Diceros bicornis minor: one gene and its partner. The protein of the gene in region 1 interacts with the protein of each later gene in a biochemical or structural test. Links are inferred from orthologs where the notes say so. Each region holds a gene or a part of one and is shown in the gene's direction. Other genes may lie near its edges. The genes, in order: RNH1 and ANG.

Region 1 (3,909 bases):
ATGTTAGACTCATGAAGCACTACCCATAGACCACAAACCGTGCCTTAATGAATAACGTGGCCACCCTCGTTCCTATGACTTCATCCATCTACGTATACTCTCCAGCTATACGACCAGGTCGGTGCTCGGCAGGGACTGCTGTGCAGAAACTCGGGAGCCAGACTTCGCTCCAAGTCACCGAGCCGAGCCCCCTGACAGCCACGCCAACGTCACGGCCAGACGACTTCACGCCCTCACGGTGCCCAACGTCCGAGGCCCGCCCACGGAGCGCGCCCGCCAACCACGCTTCCCAGCCCGCCCAGACCACCGCTCCTCCCCGCCGCCACGTGGGCGCGAGGAGTCCACCCCCAAAGGCTGCGCCCGCCCCGTTGGCCACGCCCATGCCCACCCGGCCCCGTCCTCCAGCCACGCCCCCCGCCGGCTCGGCCCCGCCCCACCGCCCGTCCCAACGATGCAGCCAGACCTCGCCCCGCCCCCGCGCGCCAGGCCCCGCCCCCGCCCTCCCATCCAGGCCCCGCCCCACCGCCAGTCCAAACGCGGCAGCCAGACCTCGCCCCGCCCCGCGCTCCAGGGCCCGCCCCACCACCAGTCCCGGCAGGACAGCCAGACCTCGCCCGCCAGGCCCCGCCCCCGCCCTCCGGGCCCCGCCCCCCCCGCCGGTCCTGACACGGCAGCCAGACCTCGCCCGCCAGGCCCTGCCCCCACCCCTCCAGTCCCGCCCCCGCCCTCCCTGCCGGAAGTGCGCCGTCTCCCTCCGGTCTCCAGGCCAGTGATAGTCCGTCGTCGTGTCGAGGTCAGCCCTCACCGGCGGCGGCTGTGGTCGGGCCGCCTATGGACGCGCAGGGGCGGTACTGCTGCCATGCTCCCCGGGGGAGAAACGTGCTCGTGAGGCGGGACGTGGGGGCGTGTGGGCGGGGGCGTGTGGGCGGGGGCGTGTGGGCGGGGGGCGTGCGGCGGGGGCGGGGCCCGGGCGGGGCCCGGGCGGGGCCCGGGGGCGGGGCGGGGCCGAGCGGGCCGAGGCAGCGGCGCCTCCTGGAGGCCGTCGGCGCGCCCCGAGGACGTCACAGCACCGAGAGCGCCCCCGCGCGTGCGCACCGCTCAGGCCCTTCTCCCGAGGCACGCTGGGAGGCGCGGCGCGGCGCGCTGGTCTGCGCCTGCGTGGTCCGCTCTGGGTGCCTGTGTCCGCGCGAGTGCGGGGTTCTCCCTGACCCCTGGTCCATTGGCGCCCAGCAAGCTGCAGAAGCAGAGGCTGGCCCAGCCACACTTTCTTCCCCAAATTGAGTAACCTTTGGCCTGTTGCCGCAAAGAACCGACCCCCAGGAAGGACAGCCCTGGCAGAGAGGAGTCGCCCAGGGGGTATTGGGGAAACGGGGGGACGGGGTCTCCATGACGTACGACCAGAGGTGGAGGGACACTCGCACGTGCTTCCAGTGGCCACCCCTCCGAGAGTGCCCGGGAAGAAGCACACCGCAGGCCGGGTGATGACGCGGAGCCCAGTCAGAGGAGCCCTGGGAGGTCACCTGAGAGGCCTGGGGGAGCTGGGTGGACGACTCCCGGGGGCAAGAGGAGAGCGTGACTGGAACAGCGCCTCGTGGGCCGCGGGCTCAGGGTGGTCTCAGGGTTGGCTGAGATGTGCAGGGGGGTCCAGGCACTTTGCGCTATTGGGCTGGCACCTCTCGGTGCCCACGCGGTGCGGAGACACGCGTGCGGGAAAGCTGGTGGACTTCTGCAGCGTTTCCGGAGGGCAGTTGGGCGGCATCTTGGAACCAGGCCGGCCCCCCTTCTAGGATGGGTACCAGGAAGCTAACCAGGTGAGACGAAATGTCGGCCTGTAAGACGGGTTGAGTAAATGGAATACATTCAGAGGCTGGCACACAATGTGGGGTTCACTGCAAGTTAGCTTGTATACATTGTATACCGATCTGTTCTTGAGAGGAAAATGTTATAGCAGCTCCATAATGCGTTCGTCTCCTATTGCGGTAACAATTACCACAGATTCCTTATTTCACAGTTCTGGAGGTTGGAAGTCTGAAATGGGTCTTAGGGGGTTAAAATCGGAGTATCCACAGGGCGGGCTCCTTCCGGAGGCTCCAGGGGAGAATCTACTTCTTGGCCTTTTCCAGTTTCTAGAAGCTGCCTTCCTCCATCTTGAAAGCGCAACCACTCCAACCTCATGGTCACGTCTCCTTGCTGATTTTGACCCTTTCACCTCCCTCTTATAGGGACCCTCATGATTACATTGGTCCTATCCGGGTAATCGAGGACAGTCTCCCCATCTTAAGACCCTTAGCTTAGTCACATCTGCAAAGATCCCTTTGCCATGGAAGGTAACTATTGACAGGTTTGGGGATTAGGACGTGGACACCTTTGGGGGCCATTATTCTGCCTAACATTCCTAATATCTGATTTTTTATTTTTTAAAAATGTGTGTACAGAGTGGGTAGGAGCACGTGAACAGATGTCAGAGCAGTTGTCTCTAGAAGATGGGCATTCTAGCGCTCTTCATTTTCTTTTCTCTGTCTTCTGGTTTTTCTACAAAGAGCATATAATGCTCATGTGACAAAAATCACGATCACGTTGACTGTAGCTCCGGTACACCCAGGGGCCCCCCTCCCCCCTCGCCCCTCTGCCTCACCCACCCTCACCCAACCTCAGGCTGCAGCAGCCTCTGTGGGAAACCCAGGACCTCGCTCATTTCTTGCGTCGAGGGGGAGGAGAGCTGCTGGCTGTCTTCACTCGACAACTTGACACCTTGAACCCACTCGGGGGGAGCTCATGGGTGGGGTTGTCTGGACCTTAGTGGTCTGTCCCTGCGAAGCCACTGGGCTCTCCAGGGCTGCGTTGGTGGTGCGACCCCCTTGTCCATTGGCACCCAGCAAGCTACACAAGCAGGAACCAGCCCAGCCAAATATCCCCAAATTGAGTAACCCTCCACTTTATTCCCCCAAAGAACTGGCCCCCCTTGCAGCAGATCAGCTCGCTGCTCTCTTGTCGCCATCTGCACTGTGCTGCTCCCTGGCGGCCGCCAGGATTAGGCCAGGTCGGCAGTGAGCAGTGTGTGAAACATTCAACCCACCTGTGGGCGGCCACCATAGCCTCAGGCCTCTGCTACCCGTGGCCTGCTCTCGCCTGGGAGTGGACATGCCTGACGTCTGCCCTGACCCTCCAGCACTCCTGATTCCCTTTTATTCTGCATTATTTTTGCCCCTTGGCACTATCCACATTCTAAATACTATTAATTTCCTTTTTTTTTCCCCCGGGGGGGAGATTCGCCCTAAGCTAACATCTATTGCCAATCTTCCTCCTTTTTTCTTCTCCGCCCCCCATCAAAGCCCCAGTATATAGTTGTGTATAGTTGTAAGTTCTGTTTCTTCTGTGTGAGCCGCCACCACAGCATGGCTACTGACAGATGAGTGGTGTGGTTCCACACCCAGGAACTGAACCTGGGCTGCCAAAGCGGAGCTTGCCAAACTTGAACTGCTAGGCCATCAGGGCTGCCTCACTATTAATTTGCTTTTTTTTTTTTTTTCGTGAGGAAGATTGGCTGTAAGCTAACATCCCTTGCCAATCTCTGAGGAAGATTGTCCCTGAGCTAACATCCGTGCCTGTCTTCCTCTATTTTGTACATGGAATGCCACTGCAGCATGGCTTGATGAGCAGTGTGTAGGTCCATGCCTGGGATTCGAACCTGTGAACCCTGGGCTGCCAAAGCAGAGCACATGAACTTAAGCACTAGGCCACTGGGGCAGCCCTACTATTAATTTGCTTTTTAATTTCATGTGTCCCCTTGAGCTCCTAGAGGGCTGAGACCTTTGCCCTGCTTGCTCACTGATGTGGCCCAAGCGCCTAGAACAGTGCCCGGCACACAATAGGTGTTCAGTAAGTGGCGGCTGAATTGAGGAATGCTGT
Region 2 (3,909 bases), on another chromosome or scaffold:
TACGAGACAGTTTTAATTCATTTAGCTATTCATATATTTTTATAGTTCCACAAACAGGATTTTGAGCCGGAGCAGGAAAGAGGAATAGGATTTGACGTGAGTTAGGATGAGACTGAGAGAGAGAATTCAAGACCAAGGAAACAACTGAAGCAAATGTGGGGAGATGGAAAACTTCATTCTCATTCGGGGAAACTGCGAGACGTCTGGACTATCCGAACACGCGCCAGACTGGGTCGCCTGCAACCGACTCCGGCTCCCGTACTATGGTGCCCACCAGTCCTGCCCCTAGGATTTTATGCTCGCGCGAGGTAGTAGCAGCCCGACAGATACACTTCCTGCGCGTGCGTCCTGGCCTCGGGACCCTACAGCCTCGCAGCCGAGCTCCGCTCGGGCCCTCGGGCTCCAACCCGATTCCCTCCAGGCTCTCTTCAGGCTCGAGCTCGCGGCTAGACCCGTCCCGGCCGGGCTGGGTGGATCTCAGACACGTGGCCTGAAGTCTGAAAAGCTGCCTCCTCTCACCCCACTTGGCGTCTGGAGGGGTCCAGGACGTGGATCGGGGAGAATAAGCGAAACTAGGGCCAGAGTCAGATGTGAGACTTTATGAAGATGGGAAGAAGAACTAAGCAAGGCAAAAGGTAAATGTCACAAAGGGGAACAAAACCATTGAATGGTGTAGCCAATCGCCGACGGGAAAGTGAAGTTCAGAAGATACGTAGGGAAAACTGTTACACGGCGGCTCGTTGGTCTAGGGGTATGATTCTCGCTTTGGGTGCGAGAGGTCCCGGGTTCAAATCCCGGACGAGCCCGGATCCTCCAGTGTCCTGGTTTTTTTCCCCCCCCCCCCCCTCCTTCTTTGGAAACTACTCATGGAAAAATTGAGCTCTGTACAAACTTTCTCGCGTTCCTAACTGTTCTGCAAAAGAGAGGTGCACTGAATGAACACATGGGAGATGGGGCTGAGGACCTGTGCGGGATGAAACTGCCTGGCTTCCTGGACTCTTCGCCTGCGGACGCCTCGGGGGGGCTGCCTCGCTTCTGGGAGCAGGGGCCGGTATCCCGTGGTCGGCTGTCCTCGGGGGCGGTGTCCCCGCAGCTGCTGCGCGTCGGACTCGCTCCTGGCCCAGGCTGGGACCCGCCCGCCGCGCCTGGGGCGGGGGCTGCTGTGGCGCCTGCTCCAAAGGCGGGTCCAGGCGGAAGGGGCCTCCTCGGGGAAGCCAGGCGGGGTCCCAACAACACAGAGAGGCTCGCACGCCAGGCGTCCACTCCTCGCCAGACCCCTATCCCGTCCGTGTACACACACACGCACGCTGACCCCACGCAGGATCCAAAGCAAGCTTCAAAAGAACATCTTTGCGTTTTCTGCCAGCTCCCCATCATCATATAAGCGAGGAAGAAGCGGCTGAGAAACAAAAACTTCTCTTTCCGCTGTCCTGCCCGTTTCTGCAGCCTTGTTCCGAGGCCGAGGTGGGTTCACACTCCTGCTCCTCCTTCTCCCTGTCGATGGCTTTATCAAGAGTGTTTTGCCTGAGGGAGTCCCTTCTTAGCACAGGCAGTGTGGGGCTCCTCCGGGAGGCTTTTGTGGGACAAGACTGGGGGAGATGAGGAATGGGAAGGAAGGTAAAAGTCCAGTAATAGTACGAGTTCGCGATTCTGCATTCCCACCCCATGTTTACTTCCCGCAGCTGAGCAGAGTTGGCAGCGTCAACGCCCACTGCCTGGAACCTAGGCTCAGAGCGGAGACCACAGAATTGGCGGACTGAAGGGAGACCCGAGGAGGCCTGCACAGGCTCAAAACTAAGGATTCTTTGCTTGGTACCCAGGTTGATCTCCAGGTTTATGAAGCAGGTCTTGTCCAGTTTGTGCCAGCGTAACCGACATTTGGGGCCTGGTGTTTTCGTTTCTTGTTTACTTTCCTCTGTCTCCCCACCCTTAACCCACCCTCAGCCAATGTTGTGAAATTCTTGGAGACTCTTTGCCAACAGACTCGTCTCTAAGCTTTCTTACTGGAACGTTGGGATCCTCAGCTTTCTTCCTCTGAAACAGCACATCAAATGGTGACAACACGAAGGCAAAACAGAACATCTTTCTTTAGGAAGGACAGTAGAAACAGTTTCAGCACGGTTCTGGGGACTAGGGAAATCTCAAATGAGCCAAGACCCTCCCTCTGTGTCATTAAGAACCTTATAATGGAGTCATAAATGTAATCACTAGAAACCCAAGTGACATAATTATCTGAGCAGCACATGGCCAGTTTGCCAGAAGCAGCCTCAGGTATTCCAAGAGCTACTTAACTACACAGTTACTAACTAGTTAGTGCAGAAGGATAATTTGGTTTCAGACGATTTATTTCAAGCAGCTCTTTTACAAATAAAAGGGAGAGTGAAATATTTTTGAACTTTATGGAAATATTCAATGTAGGTTTCCCTTAAACAGCAATTTTCAGTGGCACCTTTAAAATTAGCTTTGATTTTCTAGAAATTACTAGTATGGAATACAAAAGCTGTGTGGTGCATTGGAAAGATTCTAGTCCCAGGAACACTAGATGTTCCTTGGGCAATACATATTCTCTTTCTCTTTCTCTGTTGCTCATCCGTAAAATGAGGGATTGACAGATGGTCCCTGAAGTCCATCTCTTTCTTATTCTATGACTGCGTTGGGTGGCAGGGTGTTAGTAACATGACTCTTATACAAAAGAAGGTACTCCAGTAATGTGGGGAAGAACTATAGTTTAGTAGAGAGGATGGGCAAAACCATTCCAGGAAGGGGAATGGCTCTGGCTATTGTTGAAAGAGCAGATGTCAGGTTATAAGCAGGTAACAGAGATTTGTCAAGTTATTGTTGGAAACATTTGCCAGTGTGATTCATAAATTAAAATAGATAGATAAGAAAGTAGATCAAAGCAGGCCAGCGAAACCCCTCTTTAGAAGTTTGTATTTAATCTGTATTTGAGCAAAGAGCAATTTCTGTAAATAGTTACTCTCAGAAGAACACCTCAAAATACCTAGGAAAGAAAGAATGGGCACAAAGCCCAGAATTTGTTGAAAAGTGAATGTTTAATTTTTATCTTTGTTTGGAAATATAGGCATGTCAGCAGGACTTTGTCCCGATTCTCTCTCAATAAATAGTGCCCCCCCTTCCTGGAGGCTGAGGCATGATCCTTCTTTTCACGTGAGCTTCATCCTCTTTTAACCATTACTTCTGTCACTAAATAAGTTTCATGTTTATAGACCTAAATGTTAGAGTTATAAAGGAACTTAGAGATTAGGCACTTCCCTCCATCACCTAATTTTATAATTAGTCTTAAGGACAGAATTAAACATGTGTCCTCAGTATAAAGGGGGAAAGTACACCAGCAGTAGAGCCTTAGAAGGAGAACTCATGCTTTCTGTGTCTGTGTGCAGGGAGACTAGTGGCTTGAAGAAGAGACATAGAAAAACATTTCAGGAGAAGGGGAATGACTTTTAAGTTCAGGCCGTCAGAACATTTTTTTAAATATATGAGCACTTTTTTTCAATTGGCAATTGCTTCATACGTATTAAAATTACCGACAGAGATATGATGTTCATTAATCATAGACTATAATTCCTTGTTGTATTTTGAAACACAAATGCCTAAGCACTTAGATGCATTTTAATGAAAGAGTAAAACTTTTTTCCCCCAAACCTTATTTTCTATTTCGTCATAACCTCATTGTGCCAAGCTGAAAAGAAAAACAATTAGAACAAAAGCAGCCATTCACCATTCACCTACCTGAGTTTTTGCATTGTCAACTGTGTGGGCCGGTTGTGAAATCTCCAGAGGTTGTCGGGTGAGATCCCAGAGGCAGAGGGGGGACCTGGCTGTGTTCAGAGGCTGGAGGCTGCTCCCCAGCATCACTGTGTAACTCCCACATCAGAGACTGGTCTGTTT

What was found.
Region 2: the proteins of RNH1 (region 1) and ANG are reported together in a solved structure, tested with the Homo sapiens proteins (3 studies listed by BioGRID and IntAct, with this or other methods). The link is inferred for Diceros bicornis minor from reciprocal best matches to the Homo sapiens genes RNH1 and ANG.

Annotation. Positions count from the first base shown.
Region 1 is NC_080770.1:333,970-337,878, reverse strand, and holds the start of RNH1 (ribonuclease inhibitor), read left to right. Parts: upstream 1-1,396; 5' UTR 1,397-1,788; coding exon 1,789-1,811; intron 1,812-3,909. UniProt on the Homo sapiens protein: Ribonuclease inhibitor which inhibits RNASE1, RNASE2 and angiogenin (ANG). May play a role in redox homeostasis. Required to inhibit the cytotoxic tRNA ribonuclease activity of ANG in the cytoplasm in absence of stress.
Region 2 is NC_080744.1:28,543,210-28,547,118, reverse strand, and holds the start of ANG (angiogenin), read left to right. Parts: upstream 1-1,385; 5' UTR 1,386-1,464; intron 1,465-3,909. UniProt on the Homo sapiens protein: Secreted ribonuclease that can either promote or restrict cell proliferation of target cells, depending on the context. Endocytosed in target cells via its receptor PLXNB2 and translocates to the cytoplasm or nucleus.